Linked DNA regions of Arabidopsis thaliana. The protein of the gene in region 2 interacts with the protein of the main gene of each other region in a biochemical or structural test. Each region holds a gene or a part of one and is shown on either strand. Other genes may lie near its edges. The genes, in order: WRI1 and BBX32.

Region 1 (3,927 bases), about 13 Mb from region 2:
TATATTATTCTAATTGTCTCACTAAACAAATTAATATTCTTAAATCACTCTTATAAACAACAACAAAAAACAGTCTAAACATTATCACACTCTATTTTATACTTACAAAATTATATATTATAAAGCATAACAGGTAAAAAGGATCCGTTATGCCCGGTAAGTTATAAAAAAGTCAATAATTACGCTAATTATTTTAAATTAACCAAGAGTACATATCTATTTTTTTCTAAAAATTACTAGAAGAAAAAAGGGAAAGGAGATAACGTACTATAGGTGCCGAGGTACAAGTACTTGTTCCCAAACACTCTTCCGATCCGAGCCTCCCATCTTCCGTTGTGGTGATGCCTGTTTTTATGAACAAAAATAATCCTATTTTTAAGAATAAAATGACCAAACTATTGAATCCATAAACTTTAGCAGTGCTGAAAAAAACATAATTTATGATTTTTTTTAAGAAAAAGAGAATATTCTAAAAGCAAAATTTTCATGATCAGATTTTTTCCTAATAATTAATTCTGTTATTCAGATATCCGAAAATAGGAAAAATCATTTCTCAATTTGGTAGTAAATTCCGAAATTTAAAAAATAAATCTAAAGAAATTAAAAAAAGAAAGAGAGAAAAAAAGGAACCTAGCGACGCCGCGATATTTAGAGACGCCTCTGGAGAAACCACTGCTCTGGCGGCGGAGAGAAGCCAAATATTCTTCCTTTGTCACTCTCTGCATTTCTTCCAATTCCTTTGTGTACGTCTCTGCCTGATTTTCCCCATTTTTTTTTTTAATTATAATCCAGATTCCAAAATCACAAACATGCATATCAAAACAATCTGATTTTTGTTTTTTGGTTTACCGGAAAATTCAAGATGGTGTCGGGTCCCCAGTACTTGAGAGCAGCCAGATCGTACGTATGTGCTGCTGCTTCTTCACTGTCATATGCTCCTGCAATTACGCGTGAAAGCAGTTGAGATTCTTCTGACCAAATCCACTCTCTCTTTTTTTTTCTCTTTCAATTTAGTAAAAAACAATTGATCTTTTGTTTCAGAGAATTAGAGCTTACCCAGATAAACTGGTGAAGTTGTGACGAAGTTGAGATCAAACAACAGATCAAAGAAACCAAATTTATCAGTTAAAGTCCAGATCTTTATTAAAACAAACAAAATCATGAGTTACGAAGAAAAAAAGAAGAAGACGAAACCTTGTTTGCCTTTCTTGTTCTGAATCGAATTCCAAGAGCTTTTGTCCCAAAGATGAGCCTCGAATCTCCCAGTCCATCTATGTCTGCAAAATCCCACAAAACAACATGCAATCTTACAAATGCAGTTTTAAGACAAAACCCAAATCCAATCTCAACAACCAATCATTTAATTTCCAAAAAAATAAAAACCTAGTGACTCCTCTGTAGATAGAGCTGCGTCGGGTAGAAGCAGGGCTTGTCGGGTTATGAGATTTATCACCAGAAGGAGAAGATTTCTTAGCCCTTTTGGCTCGTTTAGGCCTTGGAGCCTCCGACTGAATAGGAGAGGAAGTAGTAGTAGAAGAAGAAACAGAGGAAGATGGAGAAGAAGAACAAGTGGAAGTGGTTAAGCGCTTCTTCATTAAACTCTGAGAAAGTTTAGATTTTTTTTTGGAGTGTGAGTGATTTGATTTCTCAGAGGAAGAGGAAGCAGAGTGGTTTAAGAAAAAAAGGAGGAAACGAGAAAGGGCAAGTTAAATAAACCCTGAAGGAGGAAAGGGCTAATTGGGTTAATTAACACAAAGAGTTAAAAATGAAATTGTAAGACCAAACACTTGGCCTTCTGTTGCAGCCATGCTACCAATAGCTTTACTCTCCACGCTGTCTTTCTTTTTTCTTTGTATTTTTGTATTTTTTTTTACGTTTTTTTATCATTAACTTTTTTGTACGTTTTATGTTTTGGAATTATTGAATTTAATTTGATTTTTTTCTCTAATTTTTTGGGGGAAAAGTTGGAATGTAAAATATCTTAATTTGTTTTTTTGCAATTCTATTTATTCCCTGGTCAACAATTTGAATTCTATATTTTAAAATTGAAGAATCTACTATGATGATGTTTTGGTTTTAGAAAAGAAAAATAGTAGCCAAAAATTAAAATTTGATTGAATTGAGTTATTATGGTAATGATGGTCTATGAAAGTTGACTAGTTTTTTCCCTTTTAAATATATATGCTTGTGTGTTATAAAATGTGTTAAATTACCTATTAAAGTTCTAAATCTTTTTATTAGCATATTTGGCTATTTGCCTATATTTTCTATAAACGCTCCAAATTAGTTGTAACGTATCTTCGCTGAGCTGTATTATACCAAATTAGGTCTTCAGTGTTCAACAAATTGTCGAATGTTTTGCATGTGTCGATCTAATGTTTATCGTATAAATACATAATTAGAACATACAAAGTAAAAAATGTCAGATGATTATTAACACATTATCGATCTAAAATGTATCGTCGAAAATGCCTAATTAGAACATATGTAAAATGGGAAAATGATCAGATATGATTAGCACGTGTCAATCCGAAACATATCGTAGAAAATGTCTAATCAAAGCATATGTAAAGTTGGATGTTCTAACTGTTATCATTTAACTTTCCACATGATTTAAGCAGACACACGAGTGTTTACAGTCGTTTAAAACAGTCAAAACTCCTTTAGTAAAAACAGAAACGATTTAATTGTAATGCTTACAGAATAATTATCATAATATAGACATGCAACATCCAAAAACAACCAAGACGATAGTCTAATTCGGTTTTAGAAAATTAGATGTACCTTTTGTAGTACGTTAAATAATTCTCGTGATTCGTTTCAGGAATTAAGTTGGGTTGCCAAATAAAAACATTCACCAAAATTTTTAAAACTTTTTTTACTCTAGAGATACAATTGTTTTATTTAATTGTTTAAAAATAAATAACTATTTTTATTAGCAGTAATAATTAAATTTAAAACGTCCTAGAAATCTAAACCGGAAGTGTATATCATAAGAGGAAAAAAAAATGAATACTAAGATTCCTAACATTTAGGACTAAACAATGAGGTTTAGCATTTAAAAATAGTTATTTATTTAACAAAATGTTCATACAATTTTCTAAAAGAACAGAGATTCTCTAAATTATCAACGCTCATAATATGATAACAAGAGTTTCGTTATCGGTTTTATTTTTTGATTTGAAAATTGAAATGAAATTAAATATTATGCACATTTCCAAGACTAAACTTCTAGTGATAAAAAGACCAAACCGTCTCGTCTCTTCCACTTCAGTTCACTGCTCTGCGCCTTTTCAGTTTCCTCTCGTATGATCGTCGTTCTTCTTTTGAATGACCTAAGCTGATATAATTAAAAGGTACTCTTTTGTTTCTTCTTCTCATACTTCGTTGCTCGGAAACTTGAGTTATCTTTTTGGAATCAGCTTTTAATTTTCCTAGTATCATATATTCGTTTCAGAGATGTCTTACGTTCCACCACATAAACGACTTGAAAATGTTGCATTGAGAGCATCCTCTGTTCCACCTTCTCTTCTTAAAAAACACAATAAAAACGTCGGGAGTACTAATACAAAGATAATCTACGCAAACGGTTACATTTCTAGATGGTTTCTCGTTGGTTCGGATCCAGAGGATAGCAACTTTCAACTTGTGCCCGGTTCTTCAGAGTGGAGGAAAGACGCAGAAGAAAAATCTTTGGTAATCTTAGCGAAGAGTGATTTGGGAAAACTGGAAAATCCATGGTTATGGGTGACAGAGAAAGTGGAGGATGACATTATAATGGGATTTGATAGGGCAAAGAAGACGTTGCTAGGTTATGGTGGATCAGAGGATGTCAAACTCAGACTGATCGCTCGGTTTGGTAATGTTGTTTTCCATGAGTAAGGTTTTTGACTTCTCCTCAAATTTTCAGTTTTTAGGGACACACAC
Region 2 (3,825 bases):
AAACCCATTATTATCTTCACCTTCACTTGGCGTCTCGTTACGTAAGAGAGCTTGTATACGAAGCCCGTGACTTGATCCATTACTGAGTCTCAGCTTCGGGAATTGCGTTTTGGGTAGCGAATTACAAAACCAACACGAAGACTGGGAAGAAGTGGGCAGCGGAGATTTGAGGAGAGGCTTAGTCTGTAAATTGGGTGTGTGTGTTGAAGTGAAGAGAGCTTCCATGGTGGATGAGAATAAGATTTTGGTTGAAGAGTCTTCTGATCTTTCACTATAGGCAGATGCTTCAGGCGTCTTTGTTGAAAGTAGCTTTAGGAATTAGGACTTTTCCAGAGTAGGGTTTGTATAACACACACATACATATAAGGGTTTTTCTTTTTCTTTTGGCTTTTTTTTTATAGTTGGATTACGATTACTTTTGTCCTTAGGAATTACTTTTGATGTATTTTCTATTCTCTTTTGTTTTGTTTTGATGTTGATAATAACGAATTTTCCTTGAAATAAGAAAATCAGTTTCTTTTCAATTTACAATTTTTATTGATAATAACATAATATTCTAAGAAATTATCTTTGTTTAAAAAAATTGGGAAAGAAAAGATTTCAATTTCATCTCAAAAGAACCTGATAATGACTATTGGATTACCATTATTCCGTTTCTAAAATCTTCTTACTGTTGATTAAAAAAATTAAATCTCCTCTAAAGAAATATCTATCATCTCAATTGGTTCAGACCATTTTTAGTTTACGTTGAAAAGAAAGATCAAACAGATCAATGACACAAACTATAATTAAGGCACTAAACACTAAATGTCCTAATTTGCATAATGCGGGACCCATGTCAATAATATTTCTCAAACGTTGTCGTTTTCAGCCCATCCTTCCTCCGAATCCACGCGCCACCGTCTAAGCTGCTGCGTCATTGCACGCGCCAATTTGCTTTCAACCGCTCGAATCATCCCAGCTGAAACTCCAGTCACATCTTCTACTTTCTTTAAATTCTGCCACGTCGTCGTGTTCTTAACGCCGAACCAAAACGCCGCCGCTAAGAACACTCTCTTCGTCGCTCTTGGCCTCGTCTCCACAGCCAAAGCCAAAGACGCATATGAAACGACAGCGTTTGTTAAATCCCTGTTTAGTCCTAACTTACCACACCAATTTACAAAAATGCCATCCGCCACCGTAACCGCAACGGCCTTGGCATTCACTCTGTTTTCCCTCCCTCGCGCTCTGTTTACGTCACGCGTCGTTGACGATAGCTCGGAGCTTGAGACACAGTCAAGAGACGAGCAGCAAGAAGAAGACGACGATTCTGAACAACATGTTGTTCGTGGAGGCCAAGGAAGAAGAGGACCAGAAACGAAATTTTGAGTAAGAGATTTGCAATTTGGGCAGATGACACGCCGGAAATGACGAGCGAAGAGAAAATTTGAGGCATGGAACTTAGCGTCACAAGAACGGCAGAGGAAGGCAGAGTCCGCGGCACAATGGAGATCAGCTTCGGCACCACAAAGCTCGCAAAAGCTCACCATTGAGTCGATCTCTCTGATCACCAGAAAGAAGTGAGAGAGAATTGGTTTGGAATGATGATGGTGGGAAGAGAGATTTAAGGAAGAGATGTAAATGATTGAGGGAGAGAAAGAGCGGTGGAGTTTTTATGGTTCATGGTTGATGAGAGTAGTCTCTTCCACAGTTCACACATCAAAGAAACTTACATGAGCCATAATTTTTTAGGGAAATGAAATGAATGGTGTTTGTAGAATTGGAGAGAATGACGTGTCGTGAGGTTTTGAGGCTGGTGAGATTATGTGGTCATTTTTAAAACTATTACACTAGCCGCCAAGTCATTCGTCTTCCTTTTGGTGTGACGTGGAGATTTAGTCAACACTAATGTCTTTTCAGAGACTTGGTCTCATTGCAAATTGCTTCTTCTTCTTTTCTTGGTTGCTTCCATTACATTTCTTCTGCATTGTTGCAGTCTTTTATATAAACTTTTATACATTGATCTTTTGTCGAATACAAAACAGAAGATAATACTCTTAATTTATAATCTAAGGAGTAAGGATACAAAACACAAGGTGTAAACTGTGGTGAACCTGTTTGGGTTCTGATCCCAACTAGTACAACAATAGTCTATATCTTGAAATCTTTCCAAAAATGGTTTCTTAAATAAAAGGGTCTTTGAATAGCCAAGCTAAATCCAATTGCTCTGTTAAGATATATCCATAGAGCCCCTCCTACGAATCACACTGTGACCTCTCCAGGGAGTTTTACTTCTTTGTTATCCGACCATAATGCCTCTGGCGTATTCTAAATGCCGGTTTTCGTAGCAGTACTTTGTTGGATTGTTTGAGATTTACCTGATCGTTTCGAGACTTAATCTTAAGTGGATGAGCTTCGGTGTTGAATACCCACTCGTCTAAAGGAATGACTGTTGTCGGCGAGAAGAGTAGATAGAGATACTTGAGTGTCTCTGCAAGGAAGAAACTTTGCATCTTGTTGTCCTTAACGCCTGTATTAACCTGGAAATGATTGAAAGAAATAAGAATCTACCATCAGTTACACTCAATTACTAATATAGATGGTGGAATGATATAATTCAATTCACCAAGGTTTTAACAATGCAGGATCTAATTAAGCGCCTACGGAAAACTTACATCCTTCAAACCAACATATCCAGACTCTATGCGCGAGTTCTTCTCAAATGCTTCAAATATATTCCATCCCCACTCTTGATATGTCTTGTTTCCAGTTAACCGCCAGAGGTAAAACAGTGATTCGACAGTTTCTGGTCTCAAGATGTTCCACGACGTTCCAACACTCATGTCCTGAATCATCATGTATACTAAACAATAAATAACGCATAAAATAAACAATGTGTTTGAAAAAGACAGGCAAATGACATACACTCCCAGAGTTGAAGAAATAATTCTCCCCAGCCAGTTTTGTTGGAGTTGATTGGTAAAAGTTATAACATGTCCACGCAAGCTGCAAAATATGTGGAAAATAGCAATAAAGGCTATATCTCAGCAGCCTAAATCAGAAAAGCAGAGAGCGAAAAATTCGAAAGATCTGAAGCACTTACGACGCTATGATCAAAGATCATTCAAGTCATAAGTTTACCTCTTCAGCGAGTGTGAGAAACTTCTTTCCTTCAGCAGGATCACTATACCCAGATGCTCCTAAAGCCAACATTCCAGGAGCAAAGCATGCCAATTCATCCATCTTAATATATATGAGAAATAATGAGATTGGAAATGCCAGGCGATGAAGAATTTTCACGTAATACAATGGAAACAATGAACAGATGGGTTTACCTTATCGATCAAAGAATTTCCACTCTTCTCACAGATATATGTAAACGACAAAGGTGTTGATTTCTTAACCAAGCTTAGCAGACCATTCATTGACTTCTCCCACATATCTCTGATGCCAAGATGTCAAGTAATAACAGTACAAATTATTATTGTTCGGCTAAAGATGTTGAAACTAAAAGACCAGAAAAGAAAAGAAGAACATAGATATCAAGCAGAAAGATAAATGTGATGGCAGCTGGTTGAACTTAGCGGACTTGAATCAATCAGACATATATACACTCAGTAGACTAGAGTTAAACTTACCTATAGTGTTTCACTGCTGAAGTTTTGTTCCCAAACACCCAAACTTTGAGCAAATATTCGTAAAAGCTGTACACAAAATATTAGCCGTCACAAATCAAACCAAAGCAGAACCAGAAGGGATCAGACTAGCAGTAATATAAAATGCAATCAAGTTGGAAAAACACCTGTCTCCCATGGCACCAAATGTTATTGTAGACTGCGATGGATT

The links.
Region 1: the proteins of BBX32 (region 2) and WRI1 form a complex in vitro, tested with the Arabidopsis thaliana proteins (one study listed by BioGRID).

Annotation. Positions count from the first base shown.
Region 1 is NC_003074.8:20,112,477-20,116,403, reverse strand, and holds the start of WRI1 (Integrase-type DNA-binding superfamily protein), read right to left. Parts: upstream 1,721-3,927; 5' UTR 1,596-1,720; coding exon 1,384-1,595; intron 1,278-1,383; coding exon 1,195-1,277; exon of another isoform or gene 1,163-1,194; coding exon of another isoform or gene 1,066-1,162; coding exon 1,057-1,065; intron 939-1,056; coding exon 850-938; intron 756-849; coding exon 631-755; intron 346-630; coding exon 269-345; intron 1-268. Other genes in the region: AT3G54310 (DNA-directed RNA polymerase subunit alpha), read left to right, coding at 3,460-3,859. UniProt on the Arabidopsis thaliana protein: May be involved in the regulation of gene expression by stress factors and by components of stress signal transduction pathways.
Region 2 is NC_003074.8:7,411,862-7,415,686, forward strand, and holds BBX32 (B-box 32), read right to left. Parts: upstream 1,867-3,825; 5' UTR 1,530-1,866; coding exon 852-1,529; 3' UTR 584-851; downstream 1-583. Other genes in the region: AT3G21140 (Pyridoxamine 5'-phosphate oxidase family protein), read right to left, coding at 1-225; MNS2 (alpha-mannosidase 2), read right to left, coding at 2,268-2,519, 2,655-2,825, 2,905-2,985, 3,121-3,222, 3,315-3,423, 3,618-3,683, 3,782-3,825.